Linked DNA regions of Kluyveromyces lactis. The protein of the gene in region 1 purifies or fractionates together with the protein of each later gene. This does not show direct contact. Links are inferred from orthologs where the notes say so. Each region holds a gene or a part of one and is shown on either strand. Other genes may lie near its edges.

The links. The genes of interacting proteins can lie anywhere in the genome.
Region 2: the proteins of HOS2 (region 1) and HOS4 purify together in Saccharomyces cerevisiae (affinity purification with mass spectrometry; 3 studies listed by BioGRID). This does not show direct contact. The link is inferred for Kluyveromyces lactis from reciprocal best matches to the Saccharomyces cerevisiae genes HOS2 and HOS4.
Region 3: the proteins of HOS2 (region 1) and KLLA0_F02882g purify together in Saccharomyces cerevisiae (affinity purification with mass spectrometry; 5 studies listed by BioGRID, with this or other methods). This does not show direct contact. The link is inferred for Kluyveromyces lactis from reciprocal best matches to the Saccharomyces cerevisiae genes HOS2 and SET3.
Region 4: the proteins of HOS2 (region 1) and CPR1 purify together in Saccharomyces cerevisiae (affinity purification with mass spectrometry; 4 studies listed by BioGRID, with this or other methods). This does not show direct contact. The link is inferred for Kluyveromyces lactis from reciprocal best matches to the Saccharomyces cerevisiae genes HOS2 and CPR1.

Annotation. Positions count from the first base shown.
Region 1 is NC_006042.1:846,695-851,598, forward strand, and holds HOS2 (histone deacetylase HOS2), read left to right. Parts: upstream 1-1,772; coding exon 1,773-3,131; downstream 3,132-4,904. Other genes in the region: IME4 (mRNA (N6-adenosine)-methyltransferase), read right to left, coding at 1-1,051; KLLA0_F09141g (type I glyceraldehyde-3-phosphate dehydrogenase), read right to left, coding at 3,594-4,664.
Region 2 is NC_006042.1:340,366-346,269, reverse strand, and holds HOS4 (Hos4p), read right to left. Parts: upstream 3,501-5,904; coding exon 618-3,500; downstream 1-617. Other genes in the region: KLLA0_F03641g (cytochrome c oxidase subunit IV family protein), read right to left, coding at 15-15; KLLA0_F03597g (dual specificity protein phosphatase family protein), read right to left, coding at 3,862-4,944; VAC7 (Vac7p), read right to left, coding at 5,765-5,904. UniProt on the Saccharomyces cerevisiae protein: Unknown. Component of the Set3C complex, which is required to repress early/middle sporulation genes during meiosis.
Region 3 is NC_006042.1:266,610-272,661, reverse strand, and holds KLLA0_F02882g (uncharacterized protein), read right to left. Parts: upstream 3,501-6,052; coding exon 1,110-3,500; downstream 1-1,109. Other genes in the region: putative GTPase MTG1, read left to right, coding at 1-825; KLLA0_F02860g (NAD(P)/FAD-dependent oxidoreductase), read right to left, coding at 4,261-5,562.
Region 4 is NC_006040.1:1,413,985-1,418,118, forward strand, and holds CPR1 (peptidylprolyl isomerase CPR1), read right to left. Parts: upstream 1,690-4,134; coding exon 1,201-1,689; downstream 1-1,200. Other genes in the region: ENT5 (Ent5p), read right to left, coding at 1-722; DNA-directed RNA polymerase I subunit RPA14, read left to right, coding at 2,163-2,642; HOM2 (aspartate-semialdehyde dehydrogenase), read left to right, coding at 3,111-4,134. UniProt on the Saccharomyces cerevisiae protein: PPIases accelerate the folding of proteins. It catalyzes the cis-trans isomerization of proline imidic peptide bonds in oligopeptides. Involved in histone deacetylase complexes, suggesting a function in chromatin.

The DNA of each region.
Region 1 (4,904 bases):
AGGGCAAATTCATATGAATGTTCCATGCGGGATCTGCAATAACGGCTGAAAATTTACCAAGAATATCGAAGTCAAACTTTCTGACGTCACATTTGATCCATTGTGGAGGAAGAAGCTTCTTAAACGATGAAGAACAGCACTCTCCATGCGTATAGAACGAATACTGCTTGCGTTGCTCTTTTTGTTCTTCAATTTTCTGTTTTTGGAGAGATTCAGGATAATATTGCAGATAGTGGACGTATCTGCAGGTACTTAACTTGTGACAAGTATCCAAATACGAACAATCTCCCAACGAAAGATCCGTCTGTGGCTTTAAATTTGGTATGAAATGAATGTGCGTGTTCGAACATTCGATAATATCCGGACAATCAGCTTCAATCTTCTTTAATTTTTCACCTTGCAAAGACATGATTTTGTTGTTAACAGTATTGATGACGGTGGATAGTAGTGACACATGTTTCGGATCTGAGCATATTGGTATGAAAGGTGATCGCTTAGTGTTTAATTTTGCCTGTTCTTTAGATAACTTAGTGGATCCGAGTTCTAACGAGAGGATTTGATTTAAGTGTCTTAGACACTTAGCATTAGGGGTTACAATTTCACTCTGGTCCAAAATGCCCATCAACTTATTTAATAATATGGGTTCGCTTTCAATTTTTCTTTCTTTAACCTGAACAGAATCTTTATCGATCGCAATCTGCTTGGCTTTATTGCCAGTATGTGATAATGACAATTTAATAGCTTGGTCATAATGAACTTTTTGCAATATTTTCAAGGAGTCCCCATCAACAAATGAAATCTTTTGGCCAAAAATATTCCCGCCACTATCATCTTCAAAATTCATGCAACCACCACATACTTCTGAAATTTTATTCAAATCTTCACAAAACTGGTAATACGTCTCACCACATTCGTTATTCTTCCATAGGAAATTTTGCATGAACATGGAATAAATGACATAAATGTCGTGTAAGCTACCATTGATCGGGGATGCAGTGATGGACGCATAGTTGTCCAACATAAAATCAACTAACCCCCAATTCAAAGACATAATACCAGTTTCACTCCTTTCACTGCTCGGACAATTTCTTTCGAGACGCAGCTATATTCAGTTTCGTTTCACCTTGTTACTCCACTCAATAAAAAAACAACCGCCGACGTCAATATCTCTGGCTCCAGACAAGATATAACAAATCCGTATATTTTTTTCGATCACCACAACTTTCACAAACTTTCTGTGCCTACAATGTCATGAAACTATATATAAATTGCCGGCTTTTCCTCTCAGTTCCATCCACGTTTAACAATGGTTCTGTCTTAAAAAGATGGTGTATTTCGTGATGAAGCTGGGATTTTTTATTTTCAAATCCGAGTTTGATCTAGGTAGGAATTCGTTGTGAACAGGGGAATACACAGGCTCCAAACTGGCAGGAAAGTGAAGGGCTTTACCAGTGTATTATACGTGAATCTGCAACGATGCTGATCTCTCTTTAGAATTGTGGGGTACATCCTTCATCTTGATACGTTGTTATCACGTGATTGGTTCATGTGATGTACGGAGTTTATGGTTCTGATCCACTTGGAATAAAAAAACATGGAATTTGAAAATACAGTAATAACAGAACAACACATAAATAAAGTACGGAAAGGTCGAATAGACAATCGACCGAGCCAATACCCAACTCTTTGCAGATTGTAGCTACCAAGTATCAATTCTGGCTGAGTGGCAGTTATTCATTACGGGTAAGTGGTAGCGGAATCCTTTTCATAAGATGTCATCGGATACACTTAAATTTGATGAGAAAACGGAAGCTGAGAAGCCATTGTTTGATTGTGATTTTGGGACTTCCTATAGTCCCAGAGTCTCGTACCACTTCAATTCGAAGGTATCACAATATCATTACGGTGTCAAGCATCCAATGAAACCTTTTAGGCTTATGCTTACCGACCATTTGGTTTCGGCATACGGGTTACACAAAGTGATGGACTTATATGAGACGAGGTCAGCAACAAAGGATGAGTTAACAAAATTTCATTCTGAGGACTATGTCAATTTCTTAGCGAAGGTAACACCAGATACATTGAATAAACTTCCTCGAGGGTCACTCGAGAAATTCAACATTGGTGACGATTGTCCTATCTTCCAAGGAATGTTTGATTATGCTGCCTTATATGCTGGGGCATCGTTAGATGCTTCTAGAAAGCTACTTAATGGTCAGAGTGAAATAGCTATCAATTGGTCTGGTGGTCTACATCATGCGAAAAAGAACAATCCATCTGGTTTCTGTTACGTTAACGATATCGTGTTAGCCATAGTAAATCTACTGCGGTATCACCCGAGAGTGTTATACATCGATATAGATTTGCACCATGGTGACGGTGTACAGGAAGCGTTTTACACTACTGACCGTGTGTTCACTGTTTCATTCCATAAGTATAACGGCGAATTCTTTCCAGGTACAGGTGATTTGGATGAGATAGGTTGCTCCAGAGGTAAGCATTTTGCATTGAACGTTCCGTTACAAGATGGGATCGAAGACGACTCATACATTAATTTATTCAAAAGCATTATTGATCCCGTAATAACATCTTTTCGGCCCAGTGTAATTATTCAGCAATGTGGTGCCGACTCCCTTGGCCACGATAGACTTGGCTGTTTTAACTTAAATATCAAGGCTCATGGTGAATGTGTACGGTTTGTCAAGTCGTTTGGAGTACCAATGCTTGTGGTTGGAGGTGGTGGTTATACACCAAGAAATGTTTCAAGATTGTGGACGTATGAAACAGGATTATTAAATGGGGTATTGCTACAACCTAAACTTCCAGAAGGTATTCCATTTAGAGATTGGTTTGGCCCAGATTATTCATTACATCCAACACTAGATGACTTGTATGAAAACAAAAATTCCAAGAAATTTCTTGAAAATATACGGATTAGATGTTTGGAGAACATCAAATACTTACAGGGTGCCCCAAGTGTTCGTATGGATGCAGAACTCATCCCAACACAGGACATCACTGGCCTAACTGAAGAAGAAGAGGAACTGATAAAAGAGTTAAATGTCGAAGAGGACAAGGCTAGGTTGGCACAAATGGAGAAGGATGACTTTAAAGTGGGCGAACTATACTAAAATATCACGTGCGGAAATCTGATATATTTGTTTTTTTTTCTTTCTTTTGGTTACGCTTTGTAAATAGATATCCTATATGGAGTTGTTAGAATACTACTAAATTAACACTATTAAGGTAAAATTATGAGCACGAAGAAAGTGCCTTCGAGGTTAAATAAATACATTATTACCAATTAATATTAAGATCGTATACTTCATTATGCTTACATGGTATGGGTTTTTATTTAACTTGTCTATATGTGTTAAGAAATTTTCTGAAGATATCCTTTAGTAAATAGAATATCTTTAAATTGCTGTGAATATTAAATAATAATGGCGGATGGAGGTACAAAAGGTATTGTTTTGAAGTACCATCATAATTTTGTAAATTGTCGAAAACTTTTGAGAATAGTCTTCATCAAACGAAGAGTACTTTTTTGTCAGTCTACTGGGATTTTGAAATCAAACAAAAAAAGCGTCTCCTTAAACACCAGCTTCGAAGTCCTTTTGAGCCATGAAAATGGATAAATCAACCACTCTTGAAGAGTAACCATATTCATTATCATACCAAGAAAGGACCTTGAAAAAATGGTCGTTCAATTCAATACCGGCCTTGGCATCAACAATAGATGAACGTGAATCGGATGTGAAGTCAGAGGACACAACGGCGTCTTTGGTAACACCCAAAACACCCTTCATATCGCTGCGAGATCTTTGTTCTAGGGCCTTCATAATGTCATCGTAAGAAGTTTTCTTTGCTGTACGGAATGTCAAGTCAACCAGGGAAATATTAATTGTTGGGACTCTTATAGACATACCGGTGATCTTACCATTAAGTTCAGGCAAGATTTTCCCTACAGCCTTAGCTGCACCAGTAGATGAAGGAATGATATTTCCCTGGCAAGATCTACCGCCTCTCCAGTCCTTACCACCAGAACTGGTACCATCGACAGTCTTTTGAGAAGCAGTAGTTGCATGAATAGTTGTCATCAAGGCTTCTTCGATACCGAACTCATCGTCCAAAGCCTTAACCAACGGAGCCAAACAGTTGGTAGTACAGGAGGCATTAGAGACCACGTGATCCGTCAATGGGTTGTATTTAACGTGGTTAACACCATAGACGTACATTGGCGCGGTCTTTGATGGAGCAGTAATGATAACTTTTTTGACACCTTTATGTCTAGAGGCTGTATCGACTTCCTTGAAGACACCGGTTGAGTCAATTACATAATCGACGTTGTAGGAAGCCCATGGGATACGCTCTGGTTCCCTAAAATGAGATAGAGGGATATGAGCCGAAACATGGTCATTTTGAATGATGATACGTTCATCGTCGAATTCAACTTCACCACGATACTTGCCGTGAGTAGAATCGTATTTGAACAAATAAGCAGCGTATTCTGGTGTTGTGGATGGATTATTGATTAATCTGACCTTAACTTCTGGGTGCGTCAAAGCAGCACGTAGAACCAATCTACCGATTCTACCAAAACCATTGATACCAATGTTAATTTGAGCTGGCTTAGAAGAAGATTCGTTTGTCATATCGGGCATCTAAAAAAGTGACAGTATCAATTCTGTGAGATTTTAAAAGGTCCGGTTTAAAGAAAAAAAGTAACTTTTCTCTCAAATAATAATAATAGCGGTAATATGTGCCAGTAAATATTAGAAAATAAAGAAGTTTTCTAATGTCAATGTTATTAAATCACAAGTGGATGACCTAGCGTAGCAGTACCAGTAAGATCTTTATTTCTTAAAAAAGGTAAAAAGAAGAAAACGGTGATGCGAAAGCAG
Region 2 (5,904 bases), about 510 kb from region 1:
TACGGTGCACATACTCTTTATAAAATCTTTGGCCGCTAGTTGTGAATACTAATATCAAACAAGAAAACCCTTGGAATAAATTAGAGAAACTATACCAAAACAATGTTCAAATCTGTGAAACTAGCTAAAATCAGCTTTATATTTTATCTTTTATTTAAATTATATGAAAAATTTACAGCTTTTTTTTTCATGTTTCTCCATTATAAAAGGTGAATAGCACCAACGGAAGTGGGCCGAAAAAAAAAACGCTAACAAGAAAACGCTTCGAAGAAAAATGGCTGGTAACAGTTTTTTTTTCTACTCTATTGTTTATCTCGAAGGAGAATCGAAGGTTTATGATATGATGGTGTGTTTTAGGTCATTTCATACGAGATGGAACTTTTTTTCGGATTTAACGTTACTAAATCAGACTCTGGCCAATCATGTTCCCGGAAAGACAGTCGCATAGTACGGGTTGGGGAAGTGATGAATGAAGGGCGTGGAAAATCATCTGCAAAGGTCCGAGTCACGTGTATATAAAATCCACGTGACTTCTATTTTCCGAGGAAGACGTTCTTCTTCTATCTTTTCTTATGTATTGTTACAGTGTTAAGCTTCTTATGCTATGTATAATGACCCTACCAAAGCGCTTTGGAGGCATTCAACCATGGTAACATTTTGGAGCGTGATTGATATTTGGCAGGGACAAAGCGTGTGTTAGCATTATTTTCGTTTTGGCCAGGTCTTTTGCTATCACGTAAAAGGACCTTTCTTGTTCTGTACAAGGCAGATGTAGATGCCGGGATAAATTCTATCATATTTTTTTCAATCCAGTCATTCATCTTTGGGTTTAAATCTTGCAGGTTCAATCGCGATAGTTTAATCCATGTTAGTGGGAGTTCATAGAATTTTACATACTCTGTTTGGTCAATTTCCGACAATTGCCTCCAGGGCAAGGACTTCGAGTTGTTTGCATTATCGCTGCCGCCATATAAGAAGATGAATTTGAAAAGATTCCATAGTTGTGGGTACTGACCCTTTTCCACTTCTTTAAATTCTGATGATTGTTTCTTTAACTCTTCGGTGCTGGATTTGATAATGACACTTATTTGAAGATCTAGCACCCATTTTGATCCATCTTCAGTGAAGTAGTACACAGGCCCAAATTTATCGTAATTCTCAAGATCTTTGAAATCAATGACTCTCAATCCAATTGGATAACGCTCTCTGATCTTTAATCTTTTTTCTACTTCGTTTCTGTTTCGAAGTTCTTCTTCTTTTAATAGTTCCTCTTTCTTGGCCTGTTCTAGCCTCTGTTCCTCCTGTTGCTTCAATTTCTCCTTCTCTTCTACTCTCTTCCGTTCATCTTCAGCTAATCTGTTTAAGAATTCCTGTTCTTTCCTTTTCTTCTGTTGCAGTCTCTTTTGCCTGTACTCTTCTTCGCTCTTCAACCTTGCGGCTCTCTCTTCTTCGCTTTCTTTCGGAAGAATAGGCGGAGTGGATAGTTGATGTGTAGGAGATGCACTTTTATAACGATGAGTTAATGATGTTGAAGATGTTGATTTTGTTGAGTCTAGTCTCTCTAGACTTGGCCTGACTAGGGAAGCAGTTTCTGCTGTCGTTTGAGAATCAGGTAATAATTTTGGCTTTTCCTCATTGATATTTCCGATTTTAGATTGTGGTTCTGAATGATAAGGACTATCATCTTTACGAATTTCCAAAGAACGATCTTGCTCTTCTCCTTTGGTGGATGGAATTGACGATATTTCTCTAGGTGAAGGAGATTTCCCTTCAGAATCTTCCTCCCCCTCTTCATCGCTGTTGTTTGAAACTTCGTATCCATATTTTGCCCTCACCGCTGCTTTGAGTAAATTCACTTCATCAGGATCCGTTAGACCAAGAGAGCTGTGGTTAGCATAATGCAAGGCAGTTTTCTTTCGTTTGTCAGTTTTCTGTGGATCCGCCCCGGCTTCGAGTAAAAGTTTCACGACGTTGACATGTCCACGCCCGACAGATAGCATCAACGGAGTTTGACCTTCTTTGTTACTCATATTAACTTGTGCGCCAAAGGCTAAAAATAAACTTACTACGTCATCATGACCATATATGCAACTCTCAAGGAAACATCTGAAATCAGGTCTACCACCGTTTTCAAGGTACGAACCGACGTATGCTAATTTCCCCTCTTTGGAAGCTTTCAAAAGCTTGTTTTTACCCAATTTTGAACTGATATCAGTCCAATAAAAGTCGTCATCATGGTTGAGTTGTTTGTCTATATCATCTGAATGTCTTGACATGGAACTAGACTGTAAGGTGCGATGGGAATGTTTTATATATTTCCTCGTTGCTCTCTTTAACATATCTTTCATATCGTGCACTATTCTTCTATCATCATTATCCATGTCTGATTCCTCCTCAATAGATTCAATTGCACTTAGACCTTTGGCATTTACCATTGTTGGATCTGCTCCGTGATCTAGAAGATATTTTACAACATTTATGTGGCCATTCGCGGAAGCATCAATAAGAGGCGTATCTAGAAACATATCATATGATTGAATATTAACATTAGCTCCATTTCTTACGAGCAACTCGACAATTGCTGAATGACCATTTAGAGCTGCTTCGTGTAGTGGCGTATTTCCAGCGTTGTCTTGGTCGTTAACGTCATAGCCGTCTTCTTCAATAAGTTTTTTTGCCAAATCATATTTGCCTTTATCACAAGCAATTTGTAGTTTTGTCCTGCCTCCGGCATCCCTATGTACTCCACGCTTAGTCTTCGGTATCTTTTTCCCGGCAGAATGTTTTTGCTTCTTGTGATTGGAGGAGTTTTCTATACTAGAGGATTTGCGCTTGTGTTCATTATAATGTTTCACCGGAGAGGAATCTTCGTGAATCGCACTGCTTGATATTTTAGCTGTACGAGCCTCATCTAAATCGGAAAGATCAGAATCGGATTCCCCATCATTTGTCAATACTGGAGCACTTGATTGTCGACTGTTGTTTCCGCTTTCAAGTTGATCACCTCGTATTAGTCTCCCCATTTTTGGTCTTGGTGGCGATGCAGGCTCTGTCGGTGCGTCACTTTCAACTTCACTGAGTGCACTACTATATTCTTCGTCAGAATGCTTATTTCTCCCTACTTTCGGTAGATTTTTCTTTTCTTCTACATCCGTTTCCTGTTTTATTTCATTAATAGGTCCTTTCGTTTCCGCTTGTCTCACCGGTATTGACTCTTGATTATTCAAAGGAGATCCAACTTTCTGGTCAGAGCTGTTTGCTTGGCTAACGACATAGGGTTCGTCTGATGGTTGTTTTGTACTGTTCTGATCAGTTGAAGTTACCTTTTGAGATACCTCTTCCTCCTTTACTGGAACATTGGTAACAGAATAATTCCCATTTTCACCCACTGGCTTAGGACTTTCTCGCTGCTGTTGCTCTGATCTTTCTCGTTCTTCTCTTCTCTCTTCGAGACGAGATAGATAACTGCCCAAGCTTCTTTTTTTGACAGGTTCGCTCATGGTTATTACTCGGTTTTTTCAGAAAGGTTTGAAAGTTATGAATGGCCTCTGATTTTCCATAATTCGCACTCTTCTGAATGAATCCTTCGAGTAACGTAAAGTCCGAAGTATAATAAGTGGGAGGACAGTATTATCTAATGGTTTCTTTGCATTATTCTCCCTTGTCACCAGCTTTATTTACCTTATATCATAACTTAGAAACCTTCAAAAGTTTAATGTTTTTAAGAACAGAATTATCACTTGGTACGTTTTGATAGTTTGCCCAAACAGAAGATCCGCGGCGTATTATTACAGAGTAGTGTTTAGGCTACTATATACTTTGTATGGGTATCCCTAAAATTGCGTTTTATATCATACAATCTCACAGAGAGAGTTCACCGAATTCCGAGATGGACTCGAATGACTGTTTCCGACAGTTATCATTGATTGAGTCACAATTGTTAAGCCAATCTTCCCATTCCATTAGTTGGAATAACAAACTCATATTTGGACTTATTTCTCTGGCGACAGACTTCAATTTATTATATGCTTCATTCAAGCTTAATTTGTCGTATCTCATCATGTAAGCTACTATCAAGGAAGCTGATCTTGATACTCCACATTGACAGTGGATTAGCACCTTTTTTTTGCTGGCATAGGCATTCTGTATTAGTTCTGTTAGTTGTGGTAGGTTTTTAGTAATTTGTGAGGTATGAGACCAAGTAAAATGATAATAGCAACCTTGCTTGGATAGAGGCAGTTGTTCCTTGTAGTTGGTAATCTCCTTTGCAACGTTTATTATTACGTCGTAATCCATTACTTCTTTTAATGATGGTTCAGAATACAAATATATGAAAGGAGGGACGACAAGTAACGGTCCACTGGGATAATATTTCTCTCTGTATGATTCTGAATAGCTCGGTGAGTCTTCATCAGAATGGGTATTGTATGGGATGCTCTTCATATCATTATCATAATTTGTAGAGGACATGGGCGTATTTTCTTGAAGAACCCAATACCGTGTCGTGCTTTCCATTGAATCATTACTGGGCGTCTGTATCTGAGGTACACTTGTCGCAATTGTCGTGGCCCTCGGCCTATTGTGAAATTTGGTGTTGATTGTTGGAAGTGTTGGTTTATTGAAAGGCGAGGAAGACGTAGACGATGAGGGTGAAGCGGCTGAATCAAAGCCCGAACTGCCAGACGGTAATTGTGGTGTAGAGGGTGTGGATCTGGCAGATTTAAGCTGTGGCGGTAAAGTGTATATCTGTGCTTCACTTACACGTTTAGTAAGCTGGTGGCGCAATGGCACTGCGAAAGTATCATTGCTTTCATTTGGTTTTGAATCCACCATTATTAGTTTGTTTTTCGTTGGGGAATCACCTATTCGAAGACAAAGGTTCTTTGAATTTTTATTTTGCATCGAATGATGTGACCTTGTACTTATTCTCTGCGGTGCCTCCATATCGCTCGGTGTTGGGTATTGAAAAGGACTTGCAAGTATGATCAAATGTTTAATATAATTATAACCAAATAAGTTTCTTACCGAATTTCTTTGGCCAGGAATTCAAGATGAGATAAGAACGGTTTTCTTATGGGTTACCAGCGTCTAGGGAAATAATCAAGTACCAGCTTTAGTTTTCCTATATCTTTGAAGTAACACAATATTCAATAATTTCAATAAATTGCTGTACAAGCTTTTCTCAAATATCCTCTAATGTAGTAGCTAAGATCTCACAATCGTTCCCCGTTAATATGTTCAAAATATCCCCTCTGCCGCCTTGAATGTGTGTGTGGTAAGTCGAGGAAAACCCACCGGCGTGCAATTCGAAGGTTTAAATCTATGCCAATAACAATGATAACTTGTGGACCTACAGCAGTTGATTTATTTGACGATAAAAACAGACAAATGAACTTTTAGCTCTGTTTCGGTACCTTGTTTCAAGTTTACTTCTTGTGCTTAGTATTTCAACATTTCTGCTTTTTTTACTTTTTCTTGGGGACACAGGTAGGTCCTAAAAAAAGAAGTAAATAAATAACATTCTTGATGCAGATGTTGCTGGGGTCACTTAAGGCTTATAACTCGGCCATGAAAAATACAGTTTGTGGTACTTTAAGTATATCTTATTGTTATCATTATATATAATTACAAGCAAATTAGTTGCTGTGGCATACTACAAGACATTGTAAAAACTAAGTAAGGCCAAGGTTGAAGTTTTCCGATGAGTTATCTTGGTGTCTGACTTAAACAAGCTTCTGGCAGACTAAAAAATGGCCTTTATATTCTATTGCGCATGGTTATTTCCATGCTTTTTTCTGAAAGGTGAGTTGTCTGGATCTACAGAAATTTGCTGTTGTACTGGGAGTACTTTCTGGTTGTTAAAGAATGGGATACTGTAATACATGTTTCCTCTGACGATCAATT
Region 3 (6,052 bases), about 580 kb from region 1:
CAATATATCATGATAGATGGAAGAAGCAAAAAGGGCGCTAAAGATCTCTTACATATATTAAAATGGAAGTATGATAAGTTTCTCCAGAAAAATGATCCGGGGAAGAAGACTGTGGGACTACCACTGGGTTATAGAATGCTAATTGGCGGCATGCCTAATGTTGGGAAATCAACACTCGTTAATAGTTTAAGATTTACTGGATATGCAGGCTTGGATCATTCGGATGGAAGCAAACCCAAGAAGGTTGCGAAGACAGGTGATCAGGCAGGTGTCACCAGGAACACTAGTGAATGTATCAGAATCAGTGATTATAAAGGAGGGTTGTTTCTATATGATACGCCTGGAATATCTTTACCTGCCAAAGCAATGAGCAAGCAAAGAATGCTATCACTCAGTTTATGTGGGTGCGTTAAAAACAATCTAGTGGACCCTGTGATTCAAGCAGATTTTCTGTTGTATCTTTTGAACCTACAGGGAAAATATCAATTCTACACACACTACACTACAACCCCTACTAACAACATTGACATTTTGTTGAGTGGCCTCAAAAAGCAAGTAGGAATGACAAACGAGAATGCTGCAGCCATCTATTGGACAGATTCTTGGAGACAAGGTAGAGTTTTAAAATCTGGGTTAAGATCTGGTTCTAAGAAGTCCTCTAAAGCTACTCCAGCTCTATTCGAGTTGGAACCCATTTTGGAAAACTTTCAATACAAGAAAACTATGCAAGAAGAACTTGAAATTCTCAAAGGTTGGGATGTTTTATCCCAACCCTTACTCAACAAAAGAGAAAAGCATTTATCTAAGGCAAATACGCTTTTCTGAGAGAATACCTAAGAAGTAGTCAGTTCTTGGTTAATTATAAACAATGTAAATAAATAATAGAAAAGTATAGACTAGTTTTCCAACATATATCGATAAAGCAAATCGAACCCACCGTCCAAATTCCTAAATAACTCGCAAAAAAAAGTTCATTTTATGAGAAGGAGGCTAAATTGTTAAGTACACTCTCCCCGTTTATTACCACCGCTGACTACCTATAGGTACATCCCGAACTGAAAAAAAAGTTTGCGTGCTAATGAAGGTTTCGATACCAAGGAAGTCATCCGTTAAGCAGGTTTGATTTTTTTCTTATAATCAGCAAACGATAATTTCTTTTTCATCTGAGCTTGGTGGATAGTAGACGAAGGGCCGGGAACGCTGTCTATTCCACGCTTCAACGAATTTTTAATGCTATTAGAATCGGAAGTGACACTAGTTTGTCCTTGGTTTGATATAGTTTCGGTTATATTTGTTATGGTGGTGTCAGTTGGAGGGTTATCTTCAGTACTTATTGTCTGTATGGGAATAGGAAGATCGGCTGGGTGTTTAATCTGTGATTCATCGAACTTAGAAGGATCTGAAATGAATGAAAGACTTTCTTTAAGGGGGTCAACCCTGTTTTTGGACTCCGTCACTGAAACCCTGTATTTGTTCCCTCTGATACTCCCAGCGTTCGTATGGAAAGACTTCTTCTGTACAGTGTCAGAGACCGGTTCTAACATCTTTAGCTTAACGGCATTGAATTTAAGTAGAAATTCATTGGCCCTTGCTGCGTCTGAGATTGTGGCATGCGCTAATTTACTGAGAATAGATGACTGTTTTTTGGTTTGCAATTTGTTTCCGTGTAATATTTCGTTAAGCTTGTATCGATTATTCATTTTTGATTTGACTGATCTATAGAGTGATTGAGAATGGCGTTTGATTTTCAGCAAGTAACAATCTTTACTATTACTTCCACAGGCACAATCACAACTTCCTAGAATGGTGTCTATGGAATGTATGAAAAGATACCTTTGTGGCTCTTCAATGGAATCTATGCTCTCATTATGATTTATTAACTTCCATATTGGATGTCTCAGGTCCCAGTCCCATTTGATGTGAAGTTCTTCACCTTTATCAATGAATCTTAGAGCTCTAAGAACGAACTTTATCTCATCCTGGTTATTGGAATTAGTCAATTTGATTGTGACTAGTTCAACATTGGGATTGCATGATCGTCTCAAGTATCTCGTTAAATTTCCACTTAACCTGGCATCAATATAAATCGGCCAGTGGGGATGAATAATGACTTTAGGTTTTGCAGTTCCCCAGACTCTATAGTTATTTCTTGGATCTTCTAAGTATTTCCTTTGGAAATCAATCTCTCCTAAGAATTCATCGATGTAGTCTCCTTCATCACATCCTTGCTTCAAGTATACAGCTAACTTGGGGTATCCAGGGAACAATCTTGAGTGATTACTGTCAGAATATGGTTTAATTTCAATCGGAATAGGTTTGAACGTTAATTTATGATAAGGTATAACCCAGTCGTCATCAGCGTGGTCTTTTACGAAAAGTTCAACGTATTTATCTTTGTAATCATTTGAAGTCAAAGGGAGATACACTGTAGGATAAGCTTCTTTAGCATTTATTAAAACAATGTTCGTAAGAGGATCTGCGGATGGAATGGCCTCTGGTTCTATACGATGGTCCGTCGCTTCAGAAGTACCTGGATTCCGTGAGTCTTTCGTACCAGACGTGGCCTCTTTTGTCTTCACCTCTTTTATGTTGCCATTTGCCGTGCGTCTACGCTTCTTATTCTGAGCATTTCTGATCCTTTCTTGTTGTTTCTTCTTTGCTAGCTTTACATCTACAAACCTAGAATTGCAGATGTTGCACAGAAAGTCATCTGGGGCATCTTTTTCATGTTCAATTCCATAGCATATAGCATGTTGCCAACGGAAACAATGGTCGCATTGTATAGTAAATCCATCATCATCTTCATAGCCACAGATGCACGTTATTATACCAGCATCTGGATCAACAACATAAGATTCGGGAACCGAAGAAAACCTATCCGTTTCAGATTTTTCAAGTTTTTGTTCCTCTACAGCTTCTTTGAAACTATCTTCTTGTTCCACCACTTTATCTTCGCTCTTTGCTTGCTTTGAAGGAGATTTTTCCTCGGCACCTGATCTAGGCATTGGCACGCTGTTGTTCGCAGCAGGTTTTCTATCGTTTTCTGCTTTTCGTTTAAGAGGTAGTGGCATCGTAGCTGCTTGTGCTAACGCAGCAGCCGCAACCATACCCTTCTTATTCCCGCTTTTCTTTGTCTTTTCGCTATTTGAGTTGCTGCGATGAATACCATTGTCAACGGGACTGCCTTTTAGATGATCATCGTCATCATCATCTTTGATAAGTGCCACAGATGCAGGGCCCGGTGATGTCATGGGATTCATATGCATACTTATATCACCAGCGCTCCCACTGTGACTACCAGCTTGACTTCCGACCTGACTTGCAGTTCCAGCGGAAGGAGTTGGTGTCATTTTGTGTGTATGTATATCGGCTTTTAACTCGTCTTTACCCTCATCGCTCGAGTTGACGTTTGAATTCGATGTTTTAGAGAACATCAACAAAGTGGAGGCATCGTCTATTAACGACTGGTCCTGAGCATGTTCTATAGTACCATCCGTCATCGTTTACTGTATATTTCCTTCTTGTATTGCGGTATTTGATTTGAATATTTGAAATTGAATGAAAAGTCGGTACCTTAATATTAATAAAGATGTCCTAACTTGCCCAGCTTGATATACTTATATACCCTTCTTTATCTTAAAAGGGATCCCTGTTTTCAGGGCCTAGTATGCTTGTTGTCCGAGCTATCGAAGTATAGAAAGCACAGCTAAAACAGTCTATACGTTCTGAATCAAACCCAACAGGAAAAATTAAACGGCCCTTTCTGATCCTCGTACAGCTGTTCTATCAAGTTTGCCAACGGTTACTTCGTGAAAGAGATATGTGCGAGTACCTTATTGACGAGAGCTAATTAGACACTCAATATGTCTGGGCTGGTCGTTTCGTTTCGTTCCTTATTAACATGTTTATTCATCCTTCGTTTGTCAATTTTTAGAAAGATAGTTAATGTTGTTGATTTTCAAAATTTTGTCGTTAAACGGTGAAAAATGTCGTACCTTGAATAATGAAGAGCCGATGAGTTGTAAACAATAAACAAGGTGCAAAAGCACGGTTAGTAGCAGTACCGTTTTCGTTTAACGCAAAGCTGTGGGTGAACATATCGCTGAACGCAAGATTGTGTTACTACTACATGTACCAAGCTGTAGATACTTTTTCTTTTTCTTTATTACTTATATTTAAATACCGGTTTACTGCCAACAGATCCACAATTGCCATGCAATATATTACTCTGTTGCTGCATAATATCAATTGCCGGAAAGGTTACAGTCTTGGGGTGCCGTAACTTTCTTGGTACCATTCTATTTCTTGTAATGCTTTCTTTTCGGGTTCTACTCTCCATTCGATTTCCGTACCGTTCCAATCACTTTCCCTGTACCTCCACTTGTGTGCCAGTATTGGTGCTAATCTTCCTTCTATTTTCTGCTGTACGTAGCTTCCGATGTTAGGAAGAAACTTGTAAGCATGTCCCGAGTCTCCACAACATACATACACGTTTTTCAGGTCGGGGATCATGTCTATAATGAAGTCAGAATTTGATGTGTCACTGATCCAGCATATCTTACAATCAATGATATCCCTTAACTTTGACTTTCTTTTGGTATCGAAGACTAGATCCGGTAGATATTTACCTAGTACTGTTCTTATACGCACGACTGCCTCTATTGGTACACTGGGTGCCGCATCGGGCTGTAGGGCCCGATAGACCGCTCTTGATTTGTTGCTCATATCATCATATGCAGACATCGCACTAGTGCAAATCTTCAATATCCTGGTGTGCTTATCTGGAGGGAACAGATATCCTAAGCTACTGTTGAAGACCACTGGAATATCCTTTAACTTTTGATATTCTTTGTCCGTCAGTTGAATATGGCCTACATATAACCCAGTAGCCCTGATCTGACCATACATAGGCAGAAGTGATACAGTATTAGCACCACATGCAACAATAATTTTGTGTCCAAGGAATTTTCTGCCAGATTCACATTGAACAGTGCCCGCTGACACACTCACGGCTCCATCATTTTCATGAAATACGACGCCTAATGATTCAGCATAATTTTTCATGGTCACTAGTGAATCCCTAGCCAAACCAATACCACAGTCTGGATTGTAACGAATCTCATCGTAGCGTTGACTATGAGAAAACTGAGGGAACTTACCACCACAAGTTAACTCTTTATGTAGTTCCACAGTTTTACACTTATTAAACTTTGTTTGTAGAAGTTGTAAACTGTCATTATCGAAAGCATATCTGCTTGTATTCTTATCTTGAATTGCACTCAATCTACCACAATGAGAGTAACAATCATGCAGCATTCCTCGAGGCAAAAATTTGTCACTTTCACCGTGCCAGTATCCCATTGCTTCCACTGCTAGTGCAGCGTAGACTTCATCGTTGTACTCTAGTCTAACAATTTTATTATAATCACAGGACGCACTTAACTGCGATGGAATTTGAAACTTATCAACCACCACAACTTTATATTTGGAACGAGCCAATTGCACAGCAGTACTTAATCCAAATATACCCGCGCCAACAATGACAACATCATAATTGGACATTTCCGGTTCGCTGCCTGTCTAATGTGAGGAAAGCTGTATAGTTGAATATATTATCTATGTTCTTTCTTAACCGAAGTTCTTCTTTATAAAGACTTTGAAGTACAATGTAAAGTTGATGGCTCGAAAGATTTTGAATCATCGGACCTCGGAGCTGATAGGAACAGTTTACCAAGAAAAAAAAAAAAAACTTGAGATAGTAAACAAAGACAGTAAGGATAATAGTGTACATAAGAGGTAAATCAAGTAGAAGTACCATGTTATAGAGTGAAAGAGTTGTCGGCATTTCTGTCCTGTATCCAACAAGTTATAAAGGAAATAATAGAAGCAAGTTATGTTAAAACTTATGAGCTAGCAGGTACAAAAGGTGAATATGTGTGTGTGTGTGTGTGGATATTATAAACGGTATAAATGAATGGGAAGAGGACCAGGTAAAGCGTTGTTGAAAGAAATTTCAACGAGTAGAACTGAAAGAGAGGAACAGCCTGCTGTT
Region 4 (4,134 bases), on another chromosome or scaffold:
TCTCTGTGAGCCGTTGGAGTAGGTTCATATTCGAAGTCGTCCGAGTCATCAATGGTAGAAGACGATCCGGCGAAAGAGTCTGCATTGATGGAAATATCGTTATACAGAGATTCTGAGCGAGATCCGGCAGATCCGGCAACGATTTTTTGTGTATTTTCCGCGGTCTTGGAACGCTCGCGTTTCAAGTAAGAAGTATCCTCTATCAACTGGATGATATGTTCACATTTCTTCTTGATACCACGCTCATGTAATTCCATCTTCCCATCACTACTGAAATCAACACGATACTGCATCGTTTCCTTGGTTAAGATATGTTTATGTGCTTGTAAACAGGATAGCACTTGATCAGTCTCTTTGCCCCTATCTGACCTCATCAATAAATACTCTAACAAGACCAAACATTTCAACACAACTCTCCATTCGTTACCGTAATTCACGTACTGCTTTCTGGCCTTTTCGTACATGTTCTTAGGTCTTTTAGCCATATGATCGACTAATCTTTTCAAAGTATATTCAGTCATCAAAAACATTGAAACCTCATAACGATGTCTCATCACTTTAGCCAAATGTTTTGGAGTTGGACCCCAGGAATCGGTATTCGTAGCACGTCTAATATCGATCTGGTATGGTTCATACTGAACTATAACGTTCTGTGCAAATCTTGCAGCATTTCTGAAATCATGCAGACCCAAATTACCCAACTTTTTAGAAATAGAATCCATCCTTACTGATAAGATATAGCCTGTCCAGCGTGATCAATAGCGTACCACTGCAGATACAACGGGTTACCGCACTGAAATGACGAACGTATCCTCACTGATCATTAATCATGATCATTATTTTATGTTGAAAAGTCTTGTAAAGGTTGCGCTGATTGCAGAGGGCAGCTAAATTGGGAAATTTCAGGTGAGAAAAGGGAACAGGCCCGGGTAACCATTTTCATTGGGTAGCTACATTTGTTAATGGCCAAAGAGGAGAGATGATGATCTAGTCATAAACTTCCATTGATATAAAAGGGTGTTGTATATATGTATTTGAGTGTCTTCCATTACCAATTGAGTGAGATCAAATACACTCAATTAGTCAATGGGTTGTTATAGACATAAGTATATATATAGATATCCCGAGCGATTGAAGTGTGATAAAGGGAAGAAAAAAGGATTAAAATGAAAAAAAGAGTCAATTCCCTAGCTTATTTCCTTACAATTCACCAGACTTAGCGATAACAATTCTGGCCTTGGTAGCACCGGAACCGGAACCCAGGGATTCGACCTTCTTGACGACATCGAAACCATCAGCGACTTCACCGAACACGACGTGCTTACCATCCAACCATGGGCATGGAACAGTGGTGATGAAGAATTGAGAGCCGTTGGTGTTTGGACCAGCATTGGCCATGGACAACAAACCTGGCTTTTCGTGCTTCTTGACGAAGTTTTCGTCTGGGAACTTAGCACCGTAGATAGACTTACCACCGACACCAGTACCGTGAGTGAAGTCACCACCTTGCAACATGAAGTCTGGGATAACACGGTGGAAAACAGAGCCGGCGTAACCGAAACCCTTTTCACCAGTAGCTAGAGCTCTGAAGTTTTCAGTAGTCTTTGGAACAACATCGTTGTACAATTGGAAAACAATTCTACCCAATGGTTGACCGTCAGCTTCCACGTCGAAAAATACCTTAGACATTCTTAGTTTAGTTTAGTAGTTGATACTTGGTGTGTTGTAACCAAGATTTTGCAAACCAGAACAGAAGAGCAAGAACTGGACTTGAATTGGAATTGGATTGAAGTTGAATCAGAGTTCAATTGAGAAAGTGGTTGGTAGTTGCTAACAAAGGGTGGCGTTGGCTTCGCAAAATGGTATTAGGTGATGACATGCGGCCGGGTAACGAAAACGGAAACCCCATTATCTTACACATCAACCGCATTGTCGCCGCAAGTCACGTGACACACGTGACTTGCATATTTTGTTAACATCGCAAGGCACGGAGAAACATGCCTGAGTTACCCGTGCCTCAGCTGAAAAATTCTTCGAGAGACAAAACCTGAATCGAAATAATGCGATGAGATGAGATGAGATGAGATGAGATAGCCAAAGGTTGGGTAAATATATAGATGCTGATTTGATTCATCGCACTCCAACGAACAACCACGTATACCATGCTAAGGGGAACTAGAAGACCAGCAAACTCCACTTTGAACACGCCCGTTGTGGTACATACGGTGGGCACGCCAACATACCTATCTAAAGACGAAGTACTACAATTCCTAGCAAGTTTCATTGCCGAAAAGGAATCAGTACCAGGCGTGACACTAGCGTCAAGCGGAGCTTCTACAACCCAGGGAGCAGTAACTTCTGGTGGCATTAGTGCCGATGAAATGGCTCTAGATACACAGCTTTCCAGTGCTCTTGCGCAGCTGAAAAGAGTCGAAAGAGATTTCAAAGGTCTACCACCTCAAGTAATGGAGATGGAACCCTCCAGCACAAGTTCTACTGGTAATACAGAAGAAGATACGGTGGCTAAATCTGCTACTGGAGGGAAAAAGATCAAGTTTGCTGATGTGCCGGAATCTTCACAAACCTCCAGTGACAGCAAACAAACATCCTCATCCTCGGAATCGTCATCAGACTCTGAATAGACGGCTGATTTGCACTACCCACGAATCGGGAGGGTATTCATTCATTATATATATATATATATATATATATATACATACATACGCTAAGTTACATACAGTGACCGTTATAATCAATGCATAAGCTTGGAGCTCACCCTAATTGCAACATACCACGTGACTTCAAATACACAACTTTTTCTTTTCCAATGGGCTCACCTGCGGTTTCTTTCACACAGAGAGAGTGTGAGTCAGTTGGAATTTTTCGTCAAAGTGATATGACATCAGTTGAAAAGAATATCAACATTAACATCCGATTCCTTACTACCAGGTATATATTTGTACACACTTGTAGCATTCATCGTTGCTCTACTTTGCTTCTAATATACTTATCTCATTTTCTTGATCGTATTTATTCTAAAGCGATAAAGAGGATCTGAATCTTGCTTAGGAAGATTAAGAAAGAATCACTACTTATAATATACTATAACTATGGGTAAGAAAGTCGCTGGTGTCTTAGGAGCTACTGGTTCCGTTGGGCAAAGATTTATCTTGTTGTTAGCTGACCATCCAGATTTTGAATTGAAGGTTTTGGGTGCTTCTTCCAGATCTGCAGGTAAGAAGTATGTCGATGCTGTGAACTGGAAACAAACCGATTTGTTACCAGAATTTGCTAAGTCCATCATTGTTTCTGAATGTACCGCTGATGCCTTCAAGGACTGTGATGTTGTGTTCTCTGGTTTGGATGCTGACTATGCTGGTCCAATTGAGAAGGAATTCAAGGAACATGGGTTAGCTGTTATTTCTAATGCTAAGAACTACAGAAGAGAAGAAGATGTGCCATTAATCGTTCCAATCACCAACCCAGAACATTTGGATTTGGTTAACGCGAACTTGGTAAAGGCCAAGCAAGAAGGTAAGCCAAGACCTGGTTTTATTATTTGTATCTCAAACTGTTCTACTGCTGGTTTAGTGGCCCCATTGAAACCATTAGTTGAAAAATTCGGTCCTATTTCTCTATTGACCACTACCACTTTACAAGCCATTTCCGGGGCTGGTTTCTCTCCAGGTGTCCCAAGTATCGATATCTTAGATAACATCATCCCTTACATTGGCGGCGAAGAAGACAAGATCGAATGGGAGACCAAGAAGATCTTGGGTGCTTTGAGTCAAGATAAATCTCAAATTAACCTATTGAGCGATGACGAAATCAAGGTTTCTGCTCAATGTAACCGTGTTGCTGTCTCTGACGGTCACACTGAATGTATCTCTTTGAAGTTCAAGAACCAGCCAGCTCCATCTGTCGAAGAAGTAAAACAATGTCTAAGAGACTATGTCTGTGATGCTGCTAAGTTGGGATGCCATTCTGCGCCAAAACAAACCATCCATGTCTTGGAACAAAATGATAGACCACAACCAAGATTGGACAGAACAAGAGACAATGGTTACGGTGTATCTGTTGGTAGAGTCAGAGAAGATCCTGTATTGGACTTCAAAATGGTTGTATTGTCCCACA